7 linked regions of the Oryctolagus cuniculus genome follow. The protein of the gene in region 1 interacts with the protein of each later gene in a pairwise test. Links are inferred from orthologs where the notes say so. Each region holds a gene or a part of one and is shown in the gene's direction. Other genes may lie near its edges.

Region 1 (4,117 bases):
CATAGTAGTGTGTGCACCAGGGGAAAACAGTAAGATCACAGAGGGGCTGATAACACAAATCAAAGTCAACAAATCCCAACTCACCCCGCACTGCCTCCCATTTCAGCTCTGAGCTCTCTTGGGACCTGTGGCAATGATCCGTTGAATCCCCAACTTCAGGCATTCCCTATCAAGGTATCGCTGCGACGGATGAGGATGTAGCACCAGTCCCCTACTTCTCCCTTCCTCCGAACTCCTGGTCGTTACGATCTCACGTCCTAGAGACAGCTCTTCAACCTCTAACATCTCCGACCTCTTTCGGCCGCCCCCTCCCTTGACGGCTGTCCCACTGTGTAACAGACTCCGTGTTTTACCTGCACGGGGGATGCAAAAACCTTGAACCCACGAGCAGCACGGATGGTGTTAGGTCTGCGGCAAGCAGCGGGCACTGGGGCCAGGGGCAGGCCTCGCACGCCGCCCGCAGACTCAACGCGTGGTCTATGAACCTTTATAACGGAGCACGCGAAGCTGCTCCGCAATTTCCCCCGCTACGGAGACAGCTTCAGCGGCAACCGCCCCCGCCCCGGGTGCCCAGGCGATTCTGGCGCCGACCGTTCTGGAGGGAGTACAATTCCCAGCCGCTCGGAAGCGAAGGCTCGGATGTCAAGAAAAGAACGGCGAACAACTCAGAAGGCGTTGTTCTCAGCTCCCAGCTCCCGACCGACTCTCAGTCTTCGACAAAGGCGGGCTGAGCAATGGCCCTGGGGCTCGCGGCACCGTTCGCAAAGCCTCCCGCCGGCACGAAGGACGCCCCCTCGACAACCGCCCACTGCTCGGAAGCCCGAGTCCTCGCCCCTCGGACCCGCGCAACCAGTCCGCCCCTAACGGGCCGATCGGACACGCACCACAGGTGCAGGCGAGGTATCTGCCGCCTCCTCCCGAACGCACCCTCAGGAGCTACACAACACAGGCGAGGGGCGGGGCTTTCGGCCGCACCCCTTCACTTCTTCCCCGCCTCCTTTGTTCCTTCTGCAGCCGCCATTGGCTGCCTGCCCTCGGGACAGGCCGAGCCGCGAGCCTGTAGAGAGACACGATTGGACGAAGTCACTGCCACTCATCCGGCGGCCCGCTCGCCATTGGCCGACGCGCCGCCGGGGTTTTGAATCGCGTCCCCGGTCGGGGAGGGTTCTGCCAAAGTGCCACGTTGGGCCGGGTTGCGGTGTGAGGAGCCGGCCGGGCGCGCCAGCCGGGGGGCGCCGGCGCCCGGGCGCGTGCTGGGGGTGGGGGTGGTCTTTGGGCGGCACGAGGCGAGTCAACGGCTTGCGGTGCGGGCGGCGGAGGCCGGCTGGCCGGCCGGCGGCTGTACTGAGGCGGCGGCGCGTCCCACCCGAGGGCGGCTCTGGCTGAGGGCGGAGGAGCCGGGGCAGAGCCCGGGGCAGCGGCTGAGGCGGGACGGCGGCGGCGGGGGCCGCTGCCCCCGGAAGACCCCGCGGAGATGCTGGCGGAGAACCTGGTGGAGGAGTTTGAGATGAAGGAGGACGAGCCGTGGTACGACCACCAGGACCTCCAGCAAGGTGAGGGCGAGGGCGTGGGCGTCGGCGGGGCGGCTTGGCGCGAACCTTTTTTTTTTTTTTTTTTTTTTTTTTTTAAGTTGTTTTTGCTCGCGGCCGGCCCGGCAGGTGCTGGGTAGGACGCGGGCTCACCTGGCGGCGGGGCCCGCCCGTCGCGCCCGCGGGGAGCCTCGGCGCCGGGCCCACGGCCTTGCTCTAAGCCTCGCTGACGCGCGTGCTGTGCGGACTGCGCGCCCGGCACTCATTGTTTGCATGAAGTCAGTCGGTGCTCCCCGCGTCCCCCCGAGGCACGGAGGGCTGAGCCGGCGAGCCCCGCTGCAAGCGGCCGGGCCGAGAAGCCCACCGACCCCGCGGCCAGCCCCCTCTGCAAGTGCTCGCAGCGCCTTTCTGGGCCGGCCGGAGCGGGAACGGCTGCAGGCTGCGGCGAGCCCTTGGCGAATACCAGCTCTTGTTTGCTCCGCTGCATTCCCCTTGGAGAGAGGAACGTCGTCGCTGTCCCATTTTCCGGATTGGGAAAACCAAGGCTAGAACAGGTAGGAGGCTTGCCCGAAGGTGAAGTCGGGGCGCCAGTGTTTTTGGACCCGCACGCTCGGAACGAGGAGTAGTGTCACTACCCAGGCCCCGTGGCTTCCTTGCCAGCATATTAATAGCAGACACTTGCAGCTGGGGACACTGTTTCTGTGCCCTCAATACAGATGCTCATTTAATTCACGAGCCCGTTAGTATCTGACATCAGCCCTGGTAGAAGCGCATGCTGCCCGGGAAACCAGGATTCCGCTTCAAACTTCGGAGCAGACAGCCTTAACACCAATCCGGAATTTTTCCCAGGCATCTTCCATTTCTGCTATTCTGTGTAAATTTCTTTCAGCTTTAAATTTGCTGTGAAAATTTGCATAACCGTCTAGTTGAATATTAAATGGTCATGATGCTTGAGCATACTCACCATTGAACTTGGCAGAAAATGTAGACTAGAATAACTCAGAAAAGGAAAAACAAGCACCTTTTCTTCGGGAAGGTAATTTCTTAAATTAATATGCAACCATTTAAGCCACCCTTATGCTTACATAGTTCTAGTTGTTCAGCAATTGTAGTATGTATTTGCCATCATCTTCTCTGTGTTGGAAAGACAAGTTTGTCATAACACTTGAACAGACTTGTTTTTTGGTTTTTCCCATAAGAATTGATGGCCTACTTTGATACTTTCTCTAGCACTGATGAGGCAACCACCAAGCCATTGCAACATTTCCCTATAGTAATTTAAGCAGTTTGTAAAATCAGAGCTGCATCTTTTTTTTTTTCTTTTTTTTTTTTTTTGGTCTGGAGTTTAAGAAGCATGAATATTTAAGGACATAGATGTTTTTGTTTTGGTATCTCCAGCATCTAGCATAATATCCGGCCCATCATAGAAGCTGGGTTTTAATATGCGTTGAGCTGAACTGAAGCGCTCATGAAATTGCTGTTTTCATTGCTCTCTTATCAAGTGCCTTGGTCCACACTGCACCTTCCCCCGTGGCAGGGTGTCAGAAACAACCAGCTGTATTTCATTGCCCTGAGAGGCCAGTGCAACCTGTTGGGGGTTACATGTGGAAGTCTCTTTAACCTTTGATCAAAAGGTATCAGCTCTTTCAAGTTTAACAAATCTTAGAGAACCTCCGAAACTCTCCTGCCACATTGCATTTGGAATTTGTTCCATACTTTTCACAGAGCTTTTGCATCTGTTATTACAGTGGACTTTGACATAACCCTCTATGTCATAACCAGCTATGGGGGCGGGGTAGGAGTAGACAATGTGAAATTCCAACAATCCTAACTTGTGAATGGAATGTGGCCTATAAAAGAAAGAAGGCTATAGTGTGAATGAATAAAAGCTGATCTTTCCCCCTCCAATTTTGCTAAATTTTAAAAAGAATTCCTAAACTTCTAACAGATTATACAGCTTGTTCACGTATCAGAAATTCATGATGTACTCTCCGCCCAGTATCGGTCTAGGTCCCAGCCCAGGGTGCCTGTCCCCATGATAGGGTCAGCGGGTCCCTACTCTGAGGGTTCGTGTTCACTAGAGAAACTTGGAGATGCTCCCTCAGGGCCTGTGCCCACCGTGGAGCCTGGCTCATTGCAGGCCCTAGCAGATATTTGTTGCTAAGTAAACCTGGGCAGCAGGTCTGTCCCGTTAAACAGATAGATTAAGCAGGTCTCAAGGAATTGCATCACCTACAGACATCTGTTCAGTTTTTAACATCCTCACTGTTAACTTAGTGAGCAAGGCTTATTGGGAGAGAGCTGTTTAAAACAATTTAAAGAGCCTGTTCTCAAAGTCTTAAGACAAAAAATGTTTTTTCTTTAAGAACAAAAGCCATTTCCTAAAGATTTCTGGGGTGTTCTTTTTAAATTAAAATACTGAAAAATGCTAACCTCCGTAGACGCTCTTATTCATGGCTTGTTTGAAACACGCAAAGCTGTGAGCAGGCAGAAGGAGAAAACCTTTCGCTTTAATGCACACACTGTTGTCAGAGAGCTGAGGTAGGACAGTAATCTCTGTGGGCAAGATCTTTTCTGGGACAGCAGGA
Region 2 (4,250 bases), on another chromosome or scaffold:
GGGCACAAAGTCCAATGAACTCAGAACATCACCCTATCAGTCACACCAGCAGCACATCCGTGCGCACCTCTCTGGTGCCAGTAGTTCGCGAAGAAAGCCAGGAATCAGCATCCAGAGAAAACAGTCATTTTCAACGGATTTGGTTAGCGCTGGCCCAAGACGGCGGTAAATTAGGATCCGGAGCAGACAGCGCCTGACTACCGGGATATTCCAACAAACGTAAAAGCGGGCCCTGGTGTAGTAACAAGAGGAACAGAAGCTTCGACCGAGTTCTAACCTAATACTCGGAAGCCAACTTTAGAAAATTCTACTCCTGACATTTACAAGCACGCCCTTGCATTAGCAATGTGTGCAGGTGTTTAAGCATTCCATAACCAAAACCTGCCATTCAGCAAATCAAGCCGAGCCGATTACAACAGAATTCAAAGCTCTCTTAAGTAAAAACTTCTGTTCAAGCTAAAGTTTTTTATTTTATTTATTATTATTATTTATTTTTTATTTTACGGGTCGTATCTAACGGCAGCAAGGAACACCCCCGAACTGACTTAGGCCACGCAGAGCCATTCCCAGCTCCAGGCAGAGCTGGTGACTCGGGCGGGACACGAATCGGAATCCTGGCAGAGACCCCGCCGGAGGCGGGGACGGCTAACACCCAGGGGCGCCCCAAGGGGAAAGGCGCCCACTGGTTCCAGTGCCACCCCCGGCCCGGGAGCCCGCCGAGGGCAACGTGTTGACAAGTGTCCTCCGTCCCCGACCTTTAACCCAGAGAGGAGTCCTTCCAACTGGGGCAGCCTGAGGGGAGCGCGCCGGGCCCACCAGCAGGGGCACCGCGCGCCGGGCCCACCAGCAGGTGCACCCCGCGCCGCCGCGGGCCGCGGGCGCGCGCTCCCAGCCCCCGGGCGGCCCGGCCCGCCTCGCCCGCGCTCTCCCACTTCCCTCCACCCATCCCCACGCGAGCTCCCTCTCACCCGGGCAGGAGCGCCTGGCGAGCGGCGCCAGCATGTTCGAAGGAACGGTGACACTCGCGGCCGGACACAGCGGGCGGACGAGGGCCGGCGGCTGGCCGCGGGGGCGGGACCCTAGGCCGCGGGGGGCGTCATTCCCGGCCGGAGGAACCTGCGCCTCCGCTGAAGTTCGCCTCTGGGCTCAGCCGACCGCCCTCGCTGCGCGGGGACCTACCCCTCTCTCGCTCTGCGCCGGCGCCACACGTGACGCGCGGGCCAGCACAGGCTTCCGGGTCAAGCAGCAGACCAGGAAAAGCGCGAGGACTCCAAGTCCCAGAGCGCCCCGCGCTTTCAGGCTGAAAACTCGGCCTGCGCTTCCGGCTTGTCCAGCCGTGGTGGGCGGGGCCCGCACAGCCCGGAGCGTAACGCACGCGCACTGCGGGGCAGTGGGAGGGGGCGCGAGGCGCACGGCATCCTGGGAGTTGTAGTCTTCTGCTCCCAAGCACTCCGCGCCCTGTGGGAGCTCCGCGCAGCTGCACTAAGCCGCCCAAAGGGCATTGACGGACGTTTGATTGGCTGTCCCGCAGAAGCGAACCGTCTCCGTCTTGGTGGCCCTGGGTTGACTCACAAGGCGGGCCTTCGGGAAGGAGAAGGCGGCGCCTTTGGGTGTTGGGCGCGAGCGGTTGAAAGGCGGTTGGCGTCGGTTCGGCTGCCGCGGCCCCTGCCCATGGCTGCGCCCGCGGAGCTGCGGGCTGCCTCGCCGCCCCCGCCTCCGCCCTCTTCTCCGTCGTCCTCGGACGCCTCCTCAGCCTCTGCGAGCGCCAGCGGCGGCCGCGCGGTGGATCGGCTGGAGCTGGTGGAGCTGCAGATCGGAGACGTGAGTGTCGCGGGGCCCGCAGCGAGAGCCGGGGGCGCGACCCCGGCCGCGCGCGCCCCGCACTGCGGCTCCCGATGGCCACCTGCCCGGGCCCGGCGGCGGGCTGCGGGGGCTCCTTCCGCCCGGCCTCGGGCTCCCCGGACCTCGCTGCGGCCCGTCCCGCCCGTCCCGCCGGAGCCCCGCACTGCGGCTCCCGATGGCCACCTGCCCGGGGCCGGCGGCGGGCTGCGGGGGCTCCTTCCGCCCGGCCTCGGGCTCCCCGGACCTCGCTGCGGCCCGCGCCGCCCGTCCCGCCGGAGCCCTGCACTGCGGCTCCCGATGGCCACCTGCCCAGGGCCGGCTGTCGATGCTGCGGTCGGCGCGAGGCTTGCTCGGCGCTGGACTGCTGTCCTGGGTGTCTGCTGGGAAACCTGGCCTTGCCGCGGGCCAGCACGCACGCCCCACCCTAGCACCCCGTCCTCGGGATGGATGATGCGCACCGTGTGTCCAGTGTGGACCAGGCGCCCCTGTGCGGGGTTTTATCCTAGGTGCAGAAAACCTTTGGAAACTGAGGCTAACGTCAGGGCTGGGTGTTCTCTGAATGCGCGTGTGGTTTCGGTGGTGGCTCCTCTCTGACGTCTGCTTTTCTTGTCCTGCAGGGTCAGGATTGACAGCAGGGTGGTGGCACGGTGCCTTTGAGGCTGCACCATCAGGCGTCGAGGGTGAAGTCCTTCAGATACTTAGGGCAGGTGGAGAGGAGGCGTCTCCATCGCTTTCCGGAGTTCAGGGACTCCACGGTGTTTTCAGGGAAAATAAAAATACCGCCTTGGTCATGGCGCACAGACGGTGGGGCCAGATGCCCTCAAAGCTGACCTGCAAGTCAGTAATTCTTGAGGCTCTCTACAAACAGCCGATGTTTTCGTTTGAAAACTTACTACTTTTATGTTGAAAACATTTATTTATTTACTTGAAAGGCAGAGCCAGAGAGAGAGGGAGAGGCAGGCATTGTCCGTCCCCTGGTTCCCTGCTCGGATGGCCGCAGTGGCCAGGCCGGAGCCAGGAGCCGCGCACTCGTGCGGGTCTCTCGTGCGCGTGCTGGGCCCCAGGTACCTGGGCGGCTCCCAGTGCCTTCCCGGTGCCCTGGCGGGAAGCTGGGTCAGAAGCGACACACCTGCTCTCACCGGCCCTCTGCATGGAGGCCAGCATCACCAGCTGCCGCTTAGCTCACTCCACCAGAGCGCCAGCCCGTGGAAGTGTGTAGTAGCCTGGGTACCAGATTCATGTGAAAGCCATTTTCCGACTGTGTATAAAATGACAGCTTTAAAAATAACTGCTTTTTCTTCTCATCTCAGGCAGCGTTTTCATTAAGCAAGCTTCTGGAAGCCACGTCGGCAGTGTCGGCGCAGGTGGAAGAGCTGGCCTGCAAGTGTACAGAGAACGCGCGCTTCCTGAAAACGTGGCGGCACCTCCTGAAAGAAGGCTACGAGTCTCTGAAGTCTGACGGCTGACTCGGCCTGCTTAGGTGCTGGGCTAACGGCCGGGCACCCATTCCCGGCTCCTCGTGTGTGGTATCTGCACATGTGGATACGTGTGTCCCACATGTACGGCTTGAGCTCCTTCTAGCAGGCCCTGTACACTCAGCACGGCTTCTCGTGATTGAATTCTGCTTGGTTTTCGTGACTTTCGTGAAAGCAGAATGCTGATACTATTTTTGATGCCAGCCCGTGTTTGCTTACGCTTTAGTACCTGTGTCCTCTAAATTTCATGGAATCCTGTATGCAAATGGGTTCCTGTATGCAAATGCAAATGTTAATGCTGCCACAGCGCTGCCAGGGTGGATCAGGTGAACCGTCACACGGTTTCTGAGAAGACGCCAAGAGCAGCAGTGTTAGAAGTTGAGCTGCATCTTGGGGACCACTGGCAATAAGGGACGGAGAACGCACCTTTCCTTGGCCCTCTTAGGAGAAGGCTGTGGTTCTTTGAAGACTGACGTCGCCGGTGGCAGAAGGAGCTTCAGTAGCTAAGTTCTCTAGAGCTAGCGGCTGTGTTTTACTTCTGTATCCTCAGCACCTAAAGCAGTGTCGCCCAGCGTCAGTGTTGACTATGAGCTGGCAAATGTCATTCGAGCCTGTTTTCTTCTTCCTGATTAGAATCTGTGTCTGAGATGGAGAGAGACAGGGAGGGCGCCCCCATCTCCTGGCTCACGCCCCGAATGCCTGCAGTAGCCAAAGCCGGGAGCTGGGGACTCACTGCAGGGCTCCCACGTGGGCGGCAAGGACACAGTTACTTGAGCCATCATTGCTGATGCTGAGAACCCATGTTAGCAGGGAGCTGGAGTCAGGAGCGAGAGCCAGCAGTGAAAGCAGGCACTCCCGTGCAGGGTGCAGGCACCCTGATGATGTCTTACCCACTAGACCAAACACCCGCCCCCTTGCAGGTTTTTTTTGTGT
Region 3 (4,383 bases), on another chromosome or scaffold:
TCTAACCCTACTTCTCAAATAAATACAATAAATCTTTAAAAAAATAAAAATAAAAGCAAACAAACAGGATCATGATGAGAAGGTATCTGTATGTGTCACCAGACTGATAAAATTGTCTGTGGCAAGAAAAAGTTAAGAATACTAATTTATGGATTTTTTTTAGCCTAAGGAGTGTCCCTGTATTGATTCTCAAAACCTACGAGGCTCTTAAAGTTTTATTATTTTTATTTTTTAATTAATTTATTTTTATAGACTTTTAAAAAAAAGAGAGGTAGAGACACGGGGGTGGTGGGGAGAGGTATTCCATCTGTTGGTTTACTCTCCAGATGCGAAGGACTTGGGCCATCCTCTGCTGCTTTCTCAGGCCATGGCAGAGAGCTGGATTGGAAGTGGAGCAGCCAGGACTTGAACCAGTGACCACAGGGGACTTCAGGCCAGGGCTTTAACCTGCTGCACCACAGCACCAGCCCCAATTATTTCTGTTTTCCCAGAAACGCTTCTTCCCTTAACTTTCATGTGTCATCAATATTTTGTTTCTCTTATTTCACCTTCGTTCTCACCCTCCTGACTTTAACTGTGGTGTCTTTTTACATGTGTGGGGGAGACTCTGGGCATTATCATGTGGTGAGCAGAGAGCTCTAAATCTTTTCTAAGCCAGATTGCCCATGCTCTCTCAAAGTTTGTAACTTTAGTTGTCTCTGGGACACCTTCACTCACTTAACCCCTGGTATTTGGAATGGAACATATTGAAACCCAAGGTTCCTCCCCAAATCTGTACGCTGTCCCCATTTCCAGGTTTTGCAACCTCAACCTCAGATTATCTAAAAATTTAAATCAATTAAAAATTTTTTTTTCAGAATTAGGATGTTCATGAATGATTTTAAAAGTAGCAAAGGATACAAAGGCCATACAGTGAGCTGGAAGCCTTTCTCCCACCTGCTCACTGGAGCTGCCCTCCGGGAAGTAACCACCGTGGCCAGCCTGGAGTGATTTTTGATCCCTTCTTCCATCGGTTTTATCTGAAGTCCTCCCCTGTTTGTAAAAGATGTGTCCCTCTCCAGGCCCTTGGAGCCGTATACGTGACTGGCTTTACATATAAACATTTATATGTGCGAATTCGAGATTCATATATAAAATCTCTCCCTATGGCCTTCCGGCCTCGAGTTTTCATCACGTCGCTTCCTGGATGAAGAACCCAGAGGGGTGAGGGGCAGGGGCTGGGGGTGATGGAGAGGAGAACCTCAAGGGGACTCAGGGGGTTCAGAGTGGCCTACTGGTGAGAAGCACCGCTGGGATTCCCGATTCCCAGTCCTCCCACCTCAGGGCCCCTTTCCAGAGCTCCTGTCCAAAAGCCTCTCGTTTCCAAGGGCCCTGACAGAGACAGAGACAGCGAGATAACACAGAGACAGAGACGCCGAAGCACCAGCATCCCTCTCCCCTCTCTGTCCCGCCCCATCGCTCTGATGGACACCCTCTCTCGACCAATGGCGCCCACGAGGAGCCCCGGAAGGCCCAATGAGAGACAGAGGAGGGCGGAAGATTCCCCGCCCCCACTCTAGGCTTGGTTGAGCCGTGCAGGTAGGTCCGGGGCTGGGGGAGCTGCCGTTGGCACTGGTGCCCCGGGGGGTGGGGGGCACGAGTGGGTAGGGGTGATGGTGGGGGAGGGAAGGCGGCTACGACCCGGGGGCTTTGAGGGGGCGGCCCGGCCGGGAGGCGAAGGGTCGAGGGGCCCGCGGAACGGGCTCCGCCGAGGGCCCTGGAATCGGCTGGGCTGGGGGAGCGGGGACTCGTGTGTGGGGCACAGGGACCCCCACCCCGCGCCCACCGGTAGGCCTGGACCGCGGGCTGCTGGCCGAGCTGCCGGAGGGCCTGGCGGCCCGGGGGGTGGGCCGGGCCGGGGGCAGCGAGGGAGCCCAGGGCGCCAGGCCGAGCCGAGGTGGGACGGACCGACGCGGAGAGGAAGGGAAGCTGCATCCCGCGGGCCGCCCCCTCCCGGAGCGAGCCGGGGCCACGGCCGCGGGCGCCCCTGCCCGGAGCCCCCTCGCCCATCCGCCCCTCCCCAACAATGGGGGTCAGGCCGGAGGGGTCGCCCGGCTGCGGGAAGGTGCGGAGGGTAGGTTCGGGACTGGGGTCCGCGGTGGGGGAGGGGTGAGAACTCGGGCTCTCCCCTTTCTCCTCTCCCGCCGCCCGGGAGGGGGGTTCGCAGAGGGGTCCGGACCCCGCCCGAGACTTGGGTCCAGAGTCGAACTCCTCGCACCCCGCCCCCACCGGCACCCCCAGATCCGGTGAGCGGGGCGGAGAGTGATGCCAAGTCCTCGAAGCCGAAGTGCAGAGGCATAGCCGGAACAGACCCGCTCCGGAGGGTTTGCCTTTTTGTTTTTATTTTTGAAATGAGGATACTTTAGTCTTTGATTTTTCCTTATTTTTTTTTTTTAAGAGGTGAGTGCTGTTATTTTTGTCCCTACTCGGGCAAGCCTCCATTTTAAGCGAAGCAGTAACTGGTTAAGCTGGAATTTCATTCAGGCCTAGGACTTGAACTGTAGGATCCTACAAGAGGTCATTTAGTCCATCCTCCTGTCTCCAGGCAGATTTGCCACCTCTCATCCTAGAATGAAGTTGTAAGGGTTTCCTTTAAAGATCTCCTGGGAAGAAGTGCCTTATTTGTTTGTAGTACTTTGGTCAATAGATTTTATTTATTATGTAGAATCAGCTCTGAAACTTAATTTAAGCTCAGAATTTTAGGTCAGAATCATCAAGAGGAGTTTTAATTTACTATATAAAATTAAATATGGTAAGGATCCTTTTTTAGGTGGTTAACAAATCACCTTTCCATAATGTGTATGAAGTACTCTTAAAATTTTTTTCCCCTTTCTTGGATTTTGGTTTTCTGATTCTTTGAGAAGCAATTATATATTTTCTAAAATGTCATACCTTTGTCTTTTCAGGTAAAGTATGTTTACATGCAAGTATCTGCCCTTTTCCAAAGAGTACTGTGTTTTGGGATGAATGAAACAAACAAAAAAAATATATGTGTGTGTGTATATATATATATATATATATATATAAAAGTAGCTTAAACTACTTGCATATTCCGTATTATTTTTTAGTCTAACTGAGAGCTCTCTCCTTTAGGTAACTTCTCAAAACAGGAAGTTTTTCTGCCTGCTCCTACCTGGTGACTGAGGGGATCACTGACTCCCTGTTTGCTCATTTCTGAATCTTGTCTGAACTCTTCTGACACTATGAATGCGATTCGGGTGCCTCTTAAGGTAAGATGTGTGTTTCTCTCATCAGCCTCATTTCGTTAGTGTTGTGAAGAGTGGAGAATATCCTGGTTTTTGAAGTTGCTGTTCTTCAGTCCCTTTACCTGTCACTGCTCCCTTTGAAGATTGCTTTGCAGGAGTGATTGGTTACTCCTTACCTTGCGTTGCTACTGTTTGTAATTACTGGTGTTAAAGTATTAATGAAGGTCTCGGATTATCTCCCATTATAATGATGTGTTCATCTTTTTAACTTCAAATTGTGACAACTTATGTAGTTGTAAAATTCTGCTCTAGTCCTAGTGGGATGGGTTCCACCTTCAGGTCCACTTTCAAATAGGTGCTTTAAAGTCATGGGTGCTAGGGTGTGTCCTGCTCTTGCAAATCAGTAGCTGATTCATGTGTTACAAAAGATGTGTCATTAACTGTTTACTCTGAAACTTCATATGGAGTATTAGAACATTCTAAGAGCTACTGGCTTGGGTGTGCAGCTCTTTGGAGAGTCCTCCTGCTTCTCCTACTCTTTTGCGTGAGATTTTACTTTGTTTCTCAACAGGTGGCACTTGGGCCAAGTTTCATCTCACAGGATAAACCTTATTTGGGCAGAGTGGACAGATGTCCTTTAAATGAAGAAGCTCTCATTGATGTGTTGGTTCTCTCTCTCTCTCTTTTTTTTTTTTTTTTAAGATTTATTTATTTATTTGAAGGTCAGAGTTACACAGAGAGAGGAGAGGCAGAGAGAGAGAGAGGTCTTCCATCTGCTGGTTCACTCCCCAGATGACTGCAACGGCCGGAGCTGCACCTATCCGAAGCCAGGAGCCAGGAGCCAGGAGCTTTTTCCGGGTCTCCCACATGGGTGCAGGGGCCCAAGGACCTGGGCTATCTTGTACTGCTTTTCCAGACCATAGCAGAGAGCTGGATCGGAAGAGGAGCAGCTGGGACTAGAACCGGCGCCCATATGGGATGCCGGCATTTCAGGCATAGCACCGGCCCCCGATGTGTTGGTTCTCTTGTGGCTTCTTTTAGTCTTCTGCATATAGATGGCCAACACATTCTCCATTAGGACAAAGTGGAGGACAGCGTTTAAGACACAGGAGTATGTAGTGGGGGAAAAACCAAGGGA
Region 4 (3,673 bases), on another chromosome or scaffold:
AGAGGCAGAGGCAGAGAGAGAGAGGTCTTCCGTCTGATGGTTCTCGCCCCAAATGGCCACAACGGCCATAGCTGAGCCTATCTGAAGCCAGGATCCAGGAGCCTCCTCCAGGTCTCCCATGTGGGTGCAGGGGCTCAAACACTTGGCATCTTCTGCTGCTTTCCCAGGGCACAGCAGAGAACTGGATCGGAAGAGGAGCAGCCAGGACTTGAACTGGCGCCCACATGGGATGCCCGCAGTGCAGGCGGCGGATTTACCTGCTATGCCACAGCGCCAGCCCTGAAACACATCCTTTAGCGTTTATTTCCACATGCGTACAGCAGGAATATGTTCTTATTCCACACATGTAGAAGAGCACAACTTGCTCCTGAAGTCACCATCTCACGTTCTCCGCAGCAGCGAGGAAGTACGACAGGGTGATCCCAGTGCTTACTTTGAGCAAGCCCTCACATTCCCTGCGCCTCACTGCTCTATCAGTCGCAATAGCCAAAGTGGTTGAACCCCACTTTATCATTTGGAAGCATTGATCAGCGGACCTTCCTTAGAAGCCTTGCTGTAAGTCCTGTTTTCACTGAGGGCGGGGCACTGTGCCAGCCCCTGCGATAGGACACTTAGATTTTCTGAGCCTATGAAATTCATTCATCCATCCAGTAAGGACTTACCGAGGGCCTGCTGTTTGCCAGGCACGGCCCCAGGTGCTGTGAACAAGTACAAAAATGCATGAACCACGGACCCTGCTCCCAGGCACTCCCTGAGAAATGCTTGGCATAATTGTCTGCAGAGGAGGGGTCTCTCCTAACCGTGCTCCCCACCCCCAGCCTTGTAACCTTACTGACATTGCTCCTGCCACTTCTAGTAAGCTTGAATGATGCAGAGTAGATTTGGTAAGAACAGAAGCAGAACAGGAGTTGTAAGAATGCGAGTGGCATCTAGGGCAGGGATAAGAATGAAAGCTGGCCTGGAGCGGTGGCCAGGAGTGGCTGCTGCCAAAAGTTCTGTCTGGGCTTGAAGCTGCCACTTCCCAGATGCCCTGCAGCTTCCTAAGTTGGTGGTTCTGACTGTGACACAGAAAGAATGTGTAACTGGCACACCACTGAGAAGCAGCCTGGAGGTCGCCAGATCCCTGTGCTTCTCACAGTATGGCCCTGAACAGACGCAGGCCTCACAGGCCGTGACTGGGGTCCAGTCCCCTCCTGCTGACCTACATTTCAGCGCTCGCTGTGCCAACTCCGGGAGCCATGGAGGCTCAGCAGCAGTGTGCGCTCCAAGTGCAGCACTGCGCCAGAGGAGTAAATAACCCTGGGAAAGCTGGCCCGCTTTCATCCGCCCACATGTGGATCTCATTGAGAGAGAGGGAAGCACTGGGTGGCCAAAACGAGGGATTTATCCTGTCCGCTGGCCGTTCTCCTTCTGTTCCTTTGATAGCTTCCACGCCTCTGCTCAGGCTAAAATAAAAAACCAAGGATTCACCCAGCCAGTATCTGCTCCCCTCTGACGGGCAGTCTTGTCCCCAGGGCTATCTCCCAGCAAACACGGAGAGGAGGAAACTGACTCTGCAGCGGAAGCGTGAGGAGTATTTTGGCTTCATCGAGCAGTATTATGACTCTCGGAATGAGGAACACCATCAGGATACCTACAGACAGGTAGGGTCGTCACCTGCAGCCTCTTTGCCTATTAGTCACACTGCAGGTGTGTCTCCTGGGAATGCCAGCAGGGTACAGATTTCTAGGTCTTCAGGCTGTGGCATGCTGCTCAGGAATTCAGTTTATTCCCCTCTTTTCTGCACCTCCTTTTCATTCATAACATCCCAGTCTAGCTATTGTAAATAGACTTTTTTTGGTCACTAATTAGTGGCCTGAGAGTGCTCAAATTTTAATGTGCGTGCAGTACCCAGGGTCTTCATGAAAATGCCACCTGGGGGTTGTGGAAACAATGCAGGTTCTGATTCAGGAGTCTGGGGCGAGGCCTGCTCTTAACAAGCTCCTGAGCAGCGCTGACGCTGCCAGTCCAGGCCACTCTGTGAGTAGTAGCAGTTACGGAGTGTGAGAAGAAGGGTAAGTTCGCCCTGGAGTGGTCCAGTCCCTCTGGGCTGTGATGTCAGTGTGCCCTCTGGCAGCCGCTGGGCCTGTTCAGCTCCCATTTCTGTCTGTGTCTGCCTGTGGGAGTCTCCCCTCACTGCCTATGCAGGAATGTCTGCTGCACTCACATGGAGGGAGCAGGAGAGCAGCAGGTGGTTGTAGAAGGTGGGGGTAGGCGGCTATCCACAACAGCCCCAAGAACTTAAGGAGCCTCTTTCAGACTGGCGTTGGGAAATCCCCACAGCTGAACCCAGCAGAATGACCTCTTTGCTAACAGAAGACCTTGACTTCATTAGCAGCTCCTCCTCGATTCCCTCTCCTGGCTCTTTTTTTTTTTTTTTTTTTTTTTTTTGACAAGCAGAGTGGACAGTGAGAGAGAGAGACAGAGAGAGAAAGGTCTTCCTTTGCCGTTGGTTCACCCTCCAATGGCCGCCGCTGCAGCCGGCGCACCGCGCTGATCCGATGGCAGGAGCCAGGATCCAGGTGTTTTTCCTGGTCTCCCATGGGGTGCAGGGCCCAAGCACCTGGGCCATCCTCCACTGCACTCCCTGGCCATAGCAGAGAGCTGGCCTGGAAGAGGGGCAACCGGGACAGAATCCGGCGCCCCGACCGGGACTAGAACCCGGTGTGCCGGCGCCGCAAGGTGGAGGATTAGCCTATTGAGCCACGGCGCCGGCCCTCTTCTGGCTCATTTTTATGGCTGTCAGAGACCTTTTAGTTCTTAGGAAGTATTGATGGGTAAGATTCTGACAGGGGGGTAGATACTTTGACTACACTTATTAACTAAGTGCCGGCCCAGAGCAAAACTGACTCCAGAGCCAAGGACAAAGCAAGTGGTACTCTTGGGTCCTGAAACCTGTTGCTGTTTGGCTTACATGGTTGACATTAGGAGGTTTCCTCAGTGTTTGACAAGCTGTTGCCCTCATGAAAGCACACTCCACGTGGACAGCTAAGTTTACTGAAGCGGACTTTTTTCTGGGTCTGTCAGTTCTTGCTGAAGATAAAATTACAGTGTAACTCTTAGTCTCTTTGTTCTCATTTCATAAGAAAATAACTTTGTCAAAAGAATAGACTGGCATTTGTGTTTTTGGACGTGGCTTCTCTTTTTCAGATTCACATTGACATTCCAAGGACGAATCCTCTCATTCCATTGTTCCAGCAGCCACTTGTGCAGGAGGTGAGGGGATTACTTGATGTTCTTTGGTCCTTCTCCCCGCCCCGTCCCCAGTTCTGTGGCACCTGTTCACAGATTTACCACTGACCATGGTAGTACCTCATGTTCAGCTATGGAGCTTTTTTTTTTTTTTAAGATTAATTTATTTATTTGAAAGACAGAGTTATAGAGAGGCAGAGGCAGAGAAAGAGAGAGAGGGGGGTCTTCCATCTGCTGGTTCATTCCCCAGATGGCTGCAACAGCCAGAGCTGCACTGATCCAAAGCCAGGAGCCAGGAGTTTCTTCTGGGTCTCCCACACAGGTGCAGGGGCCCAAGGACTTGGGCTATCTTTTACTGCTTTCCAAGGCCATAGCAGAGAGCTGAATGGGAAGTAGAGCACCCAGGACTCGAACTGGTGCCCAGATAGTGTACTAGCGCTGC
Region 5 (3,997 bases), on another chromosome or scaffold:
GTTCTGCACAGCGTGTGTTTTGCCTCGGGAGCAGAGGCCCCGAGACCCCAGGCCACTTTAAACTGGGGCCTAGGCAGCAGTTGCTGCCGCCAGTGGAGGGGGCGTTTGGGGGACATGACCAGCAGGCAGGGAGGTGCTCTGGGTAGGGAGGCTCCCCTGGAGTGGTGGCCGAGGGGCTTAGGGGCAGCAGATGCCACGTGAGCATGGCACAGCCCCCCCCCCCCGAGAGGCCTGGCTCACGGGGCCCTTTCCTTCTTTAGGGAACCCCCGAGAACCCTGGCATCAACCAGCGGGCACTGCAGCTGCTCTTCTCCGAGGTGCAGGAGAAGGCGTCCGACTGGGAGTACAACATCACCGTCAGCGCCGCCGAGATCTACAACGAGGTCCTCAGGTGCAGGCGCCAGCCCCACAGGCGGCTGTGGGCACCGCTGGGGACTGGACGAGAGGGACTGTGGAGGGGGGCTCTCCTTGTGGGCTGCAGGGGCAGTGGTGCACAGCAGACAGCAGCTGAGGCTCTGCCCACAGAGCTGCTCACTGTGGAGGCAGGAATGGCGCCATCTACAGGACTCTTGGGGAACAGCAGAGTGCAAGGGAGCAGCTGGAGGAGCAGGGATCTAGGTGGGGAGCTAGGAGAGGCCTCACCTGGGAGGAAGGAGTAACCGCCCTCCCCCGGCCCCGCCCCTCCAGGGACCTGCTGGGGAAGGAGCCTCAGGAGAAGCTGGAGATCCGGCTGTGCCCAGATGGCAGTGGGCAGCTGTATGTGCCAGGACTGACCGAGTTCCGGGTGCAGAGTGTGGACGACATCAACAAGGTGTGTGGCTGGGGGGCTCTGGGGGAAATGCTGGGGAGACCCTGGGCCCACGCAGAGCTGCTGTGGACCAGGACGAAGCCAGGTTCCACGGCAGCTTCTGCCCTGCCCTGTGTGACTCGGGCCTGCCCCTGTCTGCTCTGAGCCTGTTTGCTCCTCTCCGGTGTGGAAGGGCGGGCGTCTGCGGCAGTGATGTCCACGTGCCATAGCAGTTTCCAGGCCCGATTGCTCTGCTTCCCCTCCACTTCCCTGGTAATGTGGCTCCTGAGAGCAGCAGGCGATGGCTCAAGTACTTGGGTCCTTAGTTCGCCCCTGGGAGACCTGCGTTGAGTTCCAGGCTCCTGGCTTTGGCCTGGCCCTGCCCTGGCTGTTGTGGGCATTGAGGGACCGATGTCCCTCAGCTGGGAGATGTCTGCGAGGGGCGTTGGGGCCAGGGCGATTCCGAAGACCTGTTCTGAACCCTGCGCCCCAGGTGTTTGAGTTCGGCCACACCAACCGCACGACGGAGTTCACCAACCTGAATGAGCACAGCTCCCGCTCGCACGCCCTGCTCATCGTGACGGTGCGGGGCACGGACTGCAGCACGGGCCTGCGCACCACGGGTGAGCGCTGGACCCTGGGCAGCCTGGGCGGAGGCCCCCCCGCGGCAGGCAGCCCTGACCTGGCTGGCACCCTCCCTGCAGGGAAGCTGAACCTGGTGGACCTGGCTGGCTCAGAGCGCGTGGGCAAGTCGGGAGCCGAGGGCAGCCGCCTGCGGGAGGCGCAGCACATCAACAAGTCGCTGTCGGCGCTGGGGGACGTCATTGCCGCCCTGCGCTCGCGCCAGGGCCACGTGCCCTTCCGCAACTCCAAGCTCACCTACCTGCTGCAGGACTCGCTCAGCGGCGACAGCAAGACCCTCATGGTGGTGCAGGTGGGCGCTCGTCATGGGCTGGCACCAAGACGCGTTCCGGGGCCCCCCCCCCCCCCCCCCGAGCACCACGCTCCTGAGTCAGTGATGTGTGTGCCTCGCACACCCTCCTCCCTCCCCTCCTCGGAATCACTGTCCCTCTGGTGCTACGGGGGTGGCTGGCTGGCCTGGGTGGGCTGACCACTCTGTTCCCCAGGTGTCCCCTGTGGAGAAAAACACCAGCGAGACGCTCTACTCGCTCAAGTTTGCCGAGCGGGTACGCTCTGTGGAGCTGGGCCCTGGGGCTCGGCGCACAGAGCTGGGGTCCTGGTCCAGCCAGGAGCATCTGGAGGTAAGGGAACCACCCCAGGCCCATCTCGGGCTGGCCCGGGGCAGGAGGGGCGTGAGCAGCAGGAAGGGGCTTAGGGGACCGACTGGGCCTATGGGTGAAGGGGGTGGAGCTAGAACGAACCCAGATGCCGCAGCTCTTTAGTCCAGATCTGTCATGGTCAGGGAGGCCTGCAGGCCTGGCACACGGAGTACCAGCGTCTCACTTAACGAGAGCCCGTCTCAGGGAGCATAAGAGTTAATACGCCCATTCACAGATGAGGAAACTGAGGTTTGGGGAGGGAGGCCCAGCCATTGTCCTCCTCCATTCACAGTGGGAGCCAGCTTGCCAGGCACCGCAGCCCTCAGCACGTGCCCACTCAGCCCCCGGCTCAGGGACCACGAGCCGTGCGGGCTCCATCCGAAGGAAGCTGCAGCCCTCGGGTAAGCCCCCAACCCTACCCCCTCCATCATCACAGCCCCCAGGTGCCCTACCTGGGTGGGCTTTTCTAGTCTCTGAACCTCTGTCACCCTGTCCCCTGCCCTGCAGCGTCGGGCACACAGCGCTGGGTCCACTTTACAAAAGGAGGGAGGGGCCGGTGTGAGGAGCAGCCCAGCCCTCCTGCTGCCTAACTGGGGCTGGCCGGGCTCAGGGAGCAGGCCAGGGACCCCTACCCTGGGCACAGAGAGGGCGGAGCCCACCTGTGTCCTGGAGAGGCGAGCCCCGGCACAGGTGCCAGTACCCACTGGAGGGCCGGCAAAGGGCTAGGGTTGGCAGGACCCCGTGGGGGCCTGGCCTGAGGCACGCCCCCAGTGAGACGCCTGTCGCTTTGATTTCAGCCTGAAGGCTGGGCTGCAGAGTCTCCAGGTGAGTGTGGGGCCAGCGGCCCAGCGCTGCACACCCGCCTGCCTGGGTGGCGGGGCTGGCTCTGTCCCCGCTGCCTGCTGTCTGTGTGCTTCTGCGGGCTCCCTCCTGCTCTCGCAGCACCGCTGTGGGCACCCCTGCCCGCTGCTGGCCCGCAGCTGACCTCCCCGCCTCCCCTCCCGCAGGGAAGTCGAGGCCCTTGCCTGTGTGATGGATGGACAGCCGGCCGTGCTCGCCGGCTCGCAGGAGACAGGGACGTCCCGGCCCCTCGCAGAGCAAGAAGCAGCGGCTCGGGCTCACCAGTGGCGCGGACGGCGTGAGCTGCAAGGGTGGGCTGGCCAGCTGCCCCCAGGCCCGCGGGGTCTCCCAGAAGGCACCGAGGGGCTCCAGCCACGTGTACATAGCATTCCCGGGGCGCGGGGCCTCAGCTGCTCCCCCCGGCGCCTGGCAGCAGGCACTCCAGCGTTCCCACCTCTCCCCCTCTGAAGTCCTATTTAAGAACTTTTGGAAGCGTAGCCATTTTTACTTCTTAAAATAAAAGCCTTTTTTTACACGAGTGTGGTCTGAAAGAGCTGGGCTGGCCAGCCCTCGGTCCAGCCGCAGGGGGTGTGGCCTGCTCACCCCCTCTGCCCAGGGTTCACAGGGGCCAGCCCCGCCCCTGGCTGCTGCAGCCATCCCACGGGTGTCTCCTCCACGCAATAGGTGGGAAACTGCAGGGTGCGGCTGGGGCTCCGCTCTCCCCCACTCCCCCTGCACCAGCCTGTGCTGAGTCCCAGCCCTGGGAACTTGTGCAGCGGGGAAGGGCAGTACAGAGCCGCCCTCAGCGGATGGGGCGACGGCGCTGGCCGTGGGCACCCCCTCACCTGGTGCGCAGCCATGGCGGGGTGGACCTGACTTAGCCCTTTGCTGCTGTGCCCTGCTGGTCAGACAGCCTGCAGCACCAGGGCTGGCAGTCCTGGGAGAGCCTGGGGGCCAGACAGTGCCCCTCCCCACGAGGAGAGCAGGCAAGAGTTACAAATTTAATAAAATTCACCTTATAAATTACAGTAGCAGCCCTGGGGCTCAGTTCGCTGCCTAAGCAGGCAGAGCTGGGCAGCCATTGCTGGAG
Region 6 (3,673 bases), on another chromosome or scaffold:
GGCCCCAGCGCCTGGGACCAGAGCTTCACGCTGGAGCTGGAGCGGGTGCGCCCCTGCTGGGGGCTGGCAGGGCCCAGAGGGAGGGCTGGGGCGGGGGGGGGGCGCGGCCTGGACCCGGGGGCACCCCCAGCTCTGTCCCTTGTCCTTTGCCCCAGGCTCGCGAGCTGGAGCTGGCTGTGTTCTGGAGGGACCAGCGGGGCCTGTGTGCCCTGAAGTTCCTGAAGTTGGAGGACTTCCTGGACAACGAGAGACACGAGGTGCAGCTGGACATGGAGCCCCAGGGCTGCCTGCTGGCCGAGGTACAGCCCAACCCCTGAAAGCGCTTCCTGCTTGCCCACGGGGGCCCCCCCCGGGGGGGGGTGACCTGTGATTCTGATGCAAAGTATATTTAAATTAAAAAAAATAGAAACAGTTTCATTGAGACAGAAGAGAAGAACAAACCCTGGGCAGGCGGCAAGGTGTGGTTGAGGTTGTGACCCTTGACGCTGGGGCTTGGGTCATTCTTTGCAGTGGGGCCATGCTGTGCACCGTGGGGGTGTTTATCCGAGTCTCTGGTCCGGATGCCAGTAGCACCCCCACCTCCTGTCCCCACTGTGACAGTCCTGTGTTTTGGTCTTTTAAATTTATTTATTTGAAGGCAGAGTTACAGAGAGAGAGAGAGAGAGAGAGAGAGAGGTCTTCCATCCTCTGGTTCACTCCCCAGATGGCTGCAATGGCTGGAGCTGCACTGATGCAAAGCTGGGAGCCAGGAGCTCCATCCGGGTCTCCCCAGCAGGTGCAGGGGCCCAAGCATTTGTGCCATCTCCCGCTGCTTTCCCAGGCGCCTGAGCAGGGGCCTGGGTCGGAAGCCGGGCAGCTTCCTTGTGGGATGCCGGCCTCCCGGGTCTCGGCTTAGCCGGCTACACCACAGCACCAGCCCCTGCAACCTGACCTTAACCCAGCACGGAGAACTGGTCCACCTCCTGCCCGCAGGCTGCCCGGCTGTGTAAGGCAAACCCAGAGCCCACACACGCATATACCACCTGCCCAGATGGAGATCCGAGCTCCCAAAAAGTCCTGTTAGGTTTTTTTTTTTTTTGTACTGAGTGCGCATTGCTTTTGCGCCACTGTGTAGCCCTTTCCTCCGCCCCCTAAAGAAATTATGAAGTCAGATCTTTGTAAGCGTGGGACCACGTGTATACGTGCACACCCCTCCCTGTGCACAAATCCCTCCCCATCAGTTATCTAAGCCCCATGGAGAGGGAGAAGGGCTGGGGGCGGGGGTTGGGGAGGGGGTTTCTGTCAGGACTTCCAGACAGTTCCATGGCATGCGTTTCTAGAAAAGTCTAGGACATACGTTTCCAGAAAATTCTGTGACGTGCATTTCCAGTGGGTTCCACCATATGCATGCCCAGAAAAATGCCGTAGCATGCATTTCTGGAAAGTTCCATCACTTGTGTGTCCAGAGGGGTCACAGATGATACCGCTGGTTGTAGACCAGGCTTAGGGCAGTCAGGGCTGTGTGTGACGGGGGGACCCCGGCAATGTATTTGAAAGGCAGAGTGACAGAGACAGAGAGCTCTTCCACCTGCTGGTTCATTCCCCAAATGGCCACATAGCCCAGGCTGGGCCAGGCCAAAGCCAAGAGCCAGGAGCTCCATCCGGGTCTCCCGCGTGGGTACAGGGGCCCCAGCCCTTGGGCCATCTTCCGCTGCTTTCCCAGGCACATTAGCAGGGAGCCGGCTGGGAAACGGAGCAGCCGGGACTCGAACCTTAGGTGTGGGCAAGGGATGCAGGCGTCAGAGGCTGTGGATTAACCCCTGCGCCACCATCCCGCGATCTTGATCTAGAAAGTCCGAGATGGGCTTGGGTTTGTGGCCGGAGCTCATTCCCAGACCCGGGGACCAGCCATCCTTTCCTGGGGCAGCGCCCCCTCCGGCCGCAGCTGCACTGGGGCCTGAGCCTCCAACACAGGGAGGGGTGGGCATCCATCCGCCCTGCAAAGGGGCTTCCCCGCCGCGCGGGGGGAGGGACAGGGGCGGGGTCTTCAGCTTCCGGCCCCTCCCCCAGGTCACCTTCCGCAACCCGGTCATTGAGCGGATCCCTCGGCTCCGAAGGCAGAAGAAGATCTTCTCCAAGCAGCAAGGTGAGCAGCCGGGCTGGGGCTGGGCGGGGCGGGGCTGGGGAGGGGGCCCGGGAGTGACACCTGCCCCGCCCCGCCCCAGGAAAGGCGTTCCAGCGCGCCAGGCAGCTGAACATAGACGTGGCTACGTGGGTGCGGCTCCTGCGCAGGCTCATCCCCAACGCAGCCTCGGCCACCGGCACCTTCAGCCCCGGGGCTCCCCCAGGATCCGAGGCTCGGCCTGCAGGGTAAGGGCAGGGAGGGCGGCCCCGGGGCTCCCGCCGCCCCCTTGTATCCCGGGGCGCTGAGCTCTCCCTGTGACACCTGCGCAGGGACGTGTCCCTGGAGAAGCTGAACCTGAGCGCCGATGTGGACGGCTCCCCCCAGAAGAGCCCGCCGGGGCCTCCTTCCAGCCCGAGTGGCCTGGTGAGCCGCCCTTGCCCCGGCCCCGTCCCTAGCACCTGGGCCATCAGCGGCCGCTTCCCCACGGCATCAGCAGGGAGCGGCCGGGCTTCGAACCGGCAGGTGCATTGGGGCTGCAGGCGTCACAGGTGGTGGCTGAGCGCCCCCCCCCCCCCCCGCCTGGGTCATTGGTCAAAGTAGGCGAGTTTCTTTGGCTCTGGGGAATCCAGGAGCCTCCTGAGGGCTGTGTTGTCACATGGCCAGGGCTTCCCAGCTGTGGCCTCATGGTCAGGACACCTGCGTCCCACATCGGAGGGCCTGGGTTCAAGTCCTGGCTCCGGCTCCGGACTCCAGCACCCTGCACATGCGCACCCTGGGAGGCAGCAGGGGGCCCCACAGTGGGAGACCCGGATGGAGCTCCCAGCTCCCGCTGTTGTGGGCATTTGGGGAGAAATATATGTGGCGTGTGAAATGTTCCCGAGAGGAAGGCAGAGAAGGGGGTGGGCCGTGCTGAGGGGTCCTGTCATTCCCTGTGGTGCTCAGCCGACCCCTGCACAGGTGACTACAGGAGGGGGGGGCAGCCGTGCAAAGGGCCTGGGGCAGGAAAGTGCCTGGTGTGTTCAGAGTGTGGGACAGGGTGGGGGAGCACTGTGGCTGGAGGGGCGTGAGCAAGGAGGTGAGGGAGAGGACAGAGAGGGAAGTGGCCCCTCTGTGTAGGGGGGCAGCCCACCTGCCTTCAGCCGGACCTCTCTCCACAGAGTCCCCCCAGCCAGGAAACCTCGAGCACTCCCGAGCTGCCTCTGGAGACCCAGGAGACCCCAGGCCCCGCCCTGTGCAGGTGCCAGCCCCGCCCCTGCACCCGGGACACGCCCCAGCCCGCTGCCCCGCCCCCAGCACCCGCGCCCTCTCTCCGCAGCCCCCTGAGGAAGGCGCCCCTGAGCCTCGAGGACTTCAAGTTCCTGGCGGTGCTGGGCCGGGGTCACTTTGGAAAGGTGAGGCAGGCCGTGGGCAGCGGGGCCCCCAGCGCGTCCAGGTCCCACCCCCACCCCCACCCCCGGGTCCCCCGGGTCAGCCACCCGGTACCGCTGTGGTTACAGGTGCTGCTGTCCGAATTCCGGTCCAGCGGGGAGCTGTTCGCCATCAAAGCTTTGAAGAAAGGGGACATCGTGG
Region 7 (4,330 bases), on another chromosome or scaffold:
CAAACAGTAAGTTCAGGACTCGGGACTAATCTGGTTAACACTAGGGAGCTGCAACAGTGGCAGAGCACTGGGAGGGTTTTGATGTGCTCTTTGAGATGGCTCTCAAGTTTGTTGTTTATTTTTGCCATAAGTGCACTTTGGAAGAAAAATAGCAAGCATCTGCAAAAACCTGAGAAACCCTGTGAATCATAAAAGTAGAGTTGGAGCAAAAAACCCAAGATTGGATGGAAGAGGCAAAAGCCAAACCACGTAGGCTCTTCAGATTCCAGGTGCAAAGAGTACTGGGTTTTATTCCAACGTCTATAAGCAGCGGTGATAAAGAATTGTGACCTCGGGGCTGGTGCCTGCAGTGCCGCCATCCCACATGGGCGCCAGTTCAAGACCTCCTAGCTGCTCCATTTCCAATCCAGCTCTCTGCTATGGCCTGGGAAGGCACTGGAGGATGGCCCAAGTCCTTGGCCCCCGCACCCAGTGGGAGACCTGGAAGAAGCTCCTAGCACCTGGCTCCTGGCTTCGGATCGGCGCAGCTCTGGCGGTTGCGGCCAATTGGGGAGTGACCCAGCGGATGGAAGACCTCTCTCTCTCTCTGCCTCTCCTCTCTGTGTAACTCTGCCTTTCAAATAAATAAATAAATCTTTTTAAAAAATTGTGATCCCACCTTTGGAGAAAAATCTGGCCTTTTCAGTTTTAGCCCTAGTACCACAAGGACTTTGTACAAAATGGGACGAAGAAGTTTCAGGAATGGGCCTGAGGTCAAACACCCCTGCAGGGACCCCTCTGCCCCTTCCTGCGGGACTGCCGAGCTTATTGGGGGGGGGGGGGGGTAACTACCTTTCACAAGTTACCCGGGCTCTTGGAGAACGCCTGCAATGGTGATTATTTCTTCTGAGTAAAAGGCAGGGTAGCGGAGTAGTCAGGTTCTGAACCACTGCTCGAACCCAGCATCTGTGACCGTGGGCGAGCTGTCTAACGCGAGCCTTACAGCCCTCTTCCGTTAAATGGGAATGACAAATAGTACTTATCTCCAGCAGCTAGGAGGCCAGGGCTTTTAAGAGACCAGGGAAGCACACGGGGTGTGCTCAGAGAACCGCTACGGTCACTGAAAGCCTGCGTCAGAATAAGGAAATCGAGGCAGGGAGAGAAAAGAACGTCCAGTCGCGTGGCACCTAGGGATGAAGTCGGACCTGGAACACAGGCCTGCCTCCCAGCCCAGGCCTCTCCGGAGTCCCCGGACTGACGGAGTGTGGACCGAGGCACGCGGGCGCAGTGAGGCTGGGCCGCACAGGGCTTCTGCACGACACCGGCGAGGTTGACGTGGAGGTTTGCTCAGAACCACCGGCTCCCCAGCCCTCCGGAGTCCGCGGCTCTGAGGACGAGAGCATCCTGGGAGTTGTGTCGACCGATGCATGGTGGGACGTGTAGTCCGCTCCTGTCCCCGCCCTCCCGATGCACCCGCCTTGGAGGCCGCCTTCGCTCCCGGCTCCCGGCAAGCTCCGCGCCAGCGCCGGCTACTAATTGGCTGTGGCTCGGACAGGCGGCTCTGCCGGCAGCGGTTACCCAGGGTTTCCGGTGCGAGGCCAGCGCTGGGGACGCGGTCGCACGTCGCCCGTGAGGTGAGCCCAGCGGCGGGACGACGGACGGTGAGGGCCTGCAGACCTGGACACTTTCGGCCAGCGGGGAAATTGCTCCGATTTCTGCGCGTGGGCGGCGGCGGGGGTGGGGGGAGTCGGGGTGACGCTGTGCGCATGCGCGCGACTGGAGGGCGCGCGGGGCGTGGGTGGCTGCGTGCGCGCGGGCGCGGGAGCCCACGTGGGACCTGGGGCGCGGGGGGAGGGGTCGGAGTCGAGCGTCCCGCCACGTCAGTCTGCGGCCGGGAGCCAATCCCGCGCCGGGCCTGCCGTGAGGGGCCGTGTGGGGCCGGGAAGTGGCTTCGGGGGGAACAAGGAGGCCTCTCTCCTCACCCGCTCCAGGAGCAGCGCCCCGGAAACCCGCCGGGGTGCGCCAGGCCCCCTGACCGGCCGGACAGCGGGAGAACCGTTGGCTCCCTCCGTTGAAGGTGCGCCTGGGCTGTGATTTCTGATCCAGGCTGCGAAGAATTCTGTGGAAAATAGCAACTGTGTTTCTCAAGGATCCAATCCCAACCTAAGGTGGCAGCGCACAATGAAGAATCAAGACAAAAAGAACGGGGCTGCCAAACAGCCCAACCCCAAAAGCAGCCCGGGACAGCCGGAAGCAGGAGCGGAGGGAGCCCAGGGGCGGCCCGGCCGGCCGGCCCCCGCCCGAGAAGCCGAAGGTGCCAGCAGCCAGGCTCCCGGGAGGCCGGAGGGTGTGTGCCAGCTCTGCGTTTCCAGCCGCCTGGGGGAGGAGTTCGCGGCCCGGCCCAGGGAGGAGGCAGCGGGGATGTGGAGCATCCCAGGCTCTGGGGAGGGGAGGCCCTTGCAGGCTTCTCGCAGGTGGCCGGCACCTGAGGCCTCAGCCAGTGACGCCGGGTTCCATCCGAAGGACCTCGGTCACCAGTGTGGGTCACTGCCCTTGGTTCGTTGTCGAGGCATTTCTGGAGCTGCTTGCATAGCAAGCGGGGGCTTTTAGAGGGAGGGGAATGGACGAAACATTGAGTTGCCTGCCTCCTGCGACATGGCAGTCCCAGGTGCCGTACGTACTTATTTTATGCTTGAACAAACTGTATTGGGGAGGTTGCGAGAATTAAGTAAGCTGGGGCAACCTTAAACCTGAACCAGTGAGGCTGGCTGGGCTCACGATCCCAGGTGGTGGTCTAACCTTGCCGTCTGTCGCTGCCTCTCGTCCTCTCCTGCCCTAGGGGCTCAAGCCAAAACTGCTCAGCCTGGGGCGCTCTGTGATGTCTCTGAGGAGCTGAGCCGCCAGTTGGAAGACATACTCAGTACATACTGTGTGGACAACAACCAGGGGGCCCCGGGTGAGGATGGGGTCCAGGGTGAGCCCCCTGAACCTGAAGATGCAGAGAAGTCTCGCGCCTATGTGGCAAGGAATGGGGAGCCGGAGCCGGGCACCCCAGTAGTCAATGGCGAGAAGGAGACCTCCAAGGCAGAGCCGGGCACGGAAGAGATCCGGACGAGCGATGAGGTCGGAGACCGAGACCACCGGAGGCCACAGGAAAAGAAGAAGGCCAAGGGTCTGGGTGAGCAGAGGGCAGCTGCGGGGGGCTGTGGGGAGGGCTTTGCACCTGACATTCCTTGGGCTGTGCAGCAGGGAGTCTCCCTGGTTGATTCAAAGCGCAGGGTATTCCAGCCACAGGCCGGAGTCGTTCAGGTTGGGAGCAAGTGAAATGGAGCCTGATCCTCATGGACAAAGCGGAGAGGTTTGGATGGGCTCTGTACCTGCCCACACCGCTTCGTCCCTGCTGTGTGACCTTGGGCATGTCCTTTCCCCGCCCTGGGCAATAGTTTCCAGTTCTCTACAAGGAGAGGATTGGGCTAGGCCAAAGTTGCAAACGCAAACGTCTGTGTAAGCCAGGACCGAGGGAGGGCCTGCTTTCTGCCCAGGGTGGACTGCAGCCTTGTTCCTTGAGTGCTCTGCACTGTGCCTGCTGCCAGCTCGTCAGTTGAGAGCGTGTTGAACCTCAGACTGGGTGCAGCTGGAATTTTATTTTCTGTTAAGAAAAGCCAGAAATCAAGAGTCTGGTGAAATCTGTAGATTTCAGTAGTAGAAACCAAACAAAACCCATGCATGAGCCGGGTTTGGCCTGTGTGCCAGTGATTGGCATCTCTGTGCTGGTGTCTTCGGGCCTCCGCAGGCTGAGCAGCCTGGAGCCTGGTCAGCAGCCCCTGGGGAAAGGCCCCCCACTGGGCACAGGCAGTGGGGAAGTGGCAGAGACGGTTTTTTGACAGCAGAGTTCGTGTCTGTTAAGAATCTGGGTTAGATGACATTGGACTTGTGTCCTAGTCCCTGTCTCGCCGCCCTTCCCCCGCCCCCAGCACTTGTCACCCTAATTGAAAGAGGAACTTTTTTAAAGAATCATGGGAACACACATTGAAGGTCTCTTCATTATAAGGTTCCCTGTTTGGATGCCTCGTACACAGGGCTATAGATTTCTCACGGAGGCCAGGAGACCTTTTCGGATCCTGCTTCTCTGGGAAGGCCCCACTTTGCATTGAAACAGTAGCCCTGAATTTGCAGGTGGGATACCTTTTATCTGCTGGGAGGCAGACAAGCTTTTCTCCCACCAGTGGTGCCCCCCCCCCCCCGAAGGAATTCCAAGAGGTTTTGGTAAGCATCTGTGGGACACGTGCTGCGCTGGCTCTGTGGACAGCACTGAGGCCGCGGTGATAAGCAGGATTGAGTTGATCCCACC

Evidence for each region.
Region 2: the proteins of CDR2 (region 1) and C8H4orf46 interact in binary tests that used the Homo sapiens proteins (3 or more experiments, as listed by UniProt). The two-hybrid records come from large-scale screens. The link is inferred for Oryctolagus cuniculus from reciprocal best matches to the Homo sapiens genes CDR2 and C4orf46.
Region 3: the proteins of CDR2 (region 1) and KANSL1 interact in binary tests that used the Homo sapiens proteins (3 or more experiments, as listed by UniProt). The two-hybrid records come from large-scale screens. The link is inferred for Oryctolagus cuniculus from reciprocal best matches to the Homo sapiens genes CDR2 and KANSL1.
Region 4: the proteins of CDR2 (region 1) and TBC1D22B interact in binary tests that used the Homo sapiens proteins (3 or more experiments, as listed by UniProt). The link is inferred for Oryctolagus cuniculus from reciprocal best matches to the Homo sapiens genes CDR2 and TBC1D22B.
Region 5: the proteins of CDR2 (region 1) and KIFC3 interact in binary tests that used the Homo sapiens proteins (3 or more experiments, as listed by UniProt). The two-hybrid records come from large-scale screens. The link is inferred for Oryctolagus cuniculus from reciprocal best matches to the Homo sapiens genes CDR2 and KIFC3.
Region 6: the proteins of CDR2 (region 1) and PKN1 interact in binary tests that used the Homo sapiens proteins (3 or more experiments, as listed by UniProt). The link is inferred for Oryctolagus cuniculus from reciprocal best matches to the Homo sapiens genes CDR2 and PKN1.
Region 7: the proteins of CDR2 (region 1) and TXLNA interact in binary tests that used the Homo sapiens proteins (3 or more experiments, as listed by UniProt). The two-hybrid records come from large-scale screens. The link is inferred for Oryctolagus cuniculus from reciprocal best matches to the Homo sapiens genes CDR2 and TXLNA.

What each region holds. Positions count from the first base shown.
Region 1 is NC_091450.1:16,872,698-16,876,814, forward strand, and holds the start of CDR2 (cerebellar degeneration-related protein 2), read left to right. Parts: upstream 1-1,205; 5' UTR 1,206-1,474; coding exon 1,475-1,553; intron 1,554-1,942; exon of another isoform or gene 1,943-2,083; intron 2,084-4,117.
Region 2 is NC_091439.1:138,686,663-138,690,912, forward strand, and holds the start of C8H4orf46 (renal cancer differentiation gene 1 protein), read left to right. Parts: upstream 1-1,426; 5' UTR 1,427-1,671; coding exon 1,672-1,821; intron 1,822-3,152; coding exon 3,153-3,308; 3' UTR 3,309-4,250. Other genes in the region: ETFDH (electron transfer flavoprotein-ubiquinone oxidoreductase, mitochondrial), read right to left, coding at 969-1,002.
Region 3 is NC_091448.1:17,041,833-17,046,215, forward strand, and holds the start of KANSL1 (KAT8 regulatory NSL complex subunit 1), read left to right. Parts: upstream 1-1,482; 5' UTR 1,483-1,578; intron 1,579-3,132; 5' UTR 3,133-3,269; intron 3,270-4,383. UniProt on the Homo sapiens protein: Non-catalytic component of the NSL histone acetyltransferase complex, a multiprotein complex that mediates histone H4 acetylation at 'Lys-5'- and 'Lys-8' (H4K5ac and H4K8ac) at transcription start sites and promotes transcription initiation.
Region 4 is NC_091436.1:132,355,357-132,359,029, reverse strand, and holds part of TBC1D22B (TBC1 domain family member 22B), read left to right. Parts: intron 1-1,514; coding exon 1,515-1,643; intron 1,644-3,189; coding exon 3,190-3,255; intron 3,256-3,673. UniProt on the Homo sapiens protein: May act as a GTPase-activating protein for Rab family protein(s).
Region 5 is NC_091449.1:41,227,132-41,231,128, reverse strand, and holds the end of KIFC3 (kinesin-like protein KIFC3), read left to right. Parts: intron 1-260; coding exon 261-391; intron 392-687; coding exon 688-811; intron 812-1,280; coding exon 1,281-1,410; intron 1,411-1,491; coding exon 1,492-1,721; intron 1,722-1,914; coding exon 1,915-2,049; intron 2,050-2,359; coding exon 2,360-2,468; intron 2,469-2,864; coding exon of another isoform or gene 2,865-2,869; exon of another isoform or gene 2,870-2,892; intron 2,893-3,074; coding exon 3,075-3,100; 3' UTR 3,101-3,445; downstream 3,446-3,997. UniProt on the Homo sapiens protein: Minus-end microtubule-dependent motor protein. Involved in apically targeted transport. Required for zonula adherens maintenance.
Region 6 is NC_091447.1:63,106,861-63,110,533, forward strand, and holds part of PKN1 (serine/threonine-protein kinase N1), read left to right. Parts: coding exon 1-45; intron 46-155; coding exon 156-299; intron 300-2,049; coding exon 2,050-2,125; intron 2,126-2,204; coding exon 2,205-2,349; intron 2,350-2,433; coding exon 2,434-2,626; intron 2,627-3,261; coding exon 3,262-3,341; intron 3,342-3,419; coding exon 3,420-3,495; intron 3,496-3,600; coding exon 3,601-3,673. UniProt on the Homo sapiens protein: PKC-related serine/threonine-protein kinase involved in various processes such as regulation of the intermediate filaments of the actin cytoskeleton, cell migration, tumor cell invasion and transcription regulation.
Region 7 is NC_091438.1:140,273,112-140,277,441, reverse strand, and holds the start of TXLNA (alpha-taxilin), read left to right. Parts: upstream 1-1,445; 5' UTR 1,446-1,613; exon of another isoform or gene 1,614-1,640; intron 1,641-1,755; exon of another isoform or gene 1,756-1,970; 5' UTR 1,971-2,160; coding exon 2,161-2,326; intron 2,327-2,818; coding exon 2,819-3,157; intron 3,158-4,330. UniProt on the Homo sapiens protein: May be involved in intracellular vesicle traffic and potentially in calcium-dependent exocytosis in neuroendocrine cells.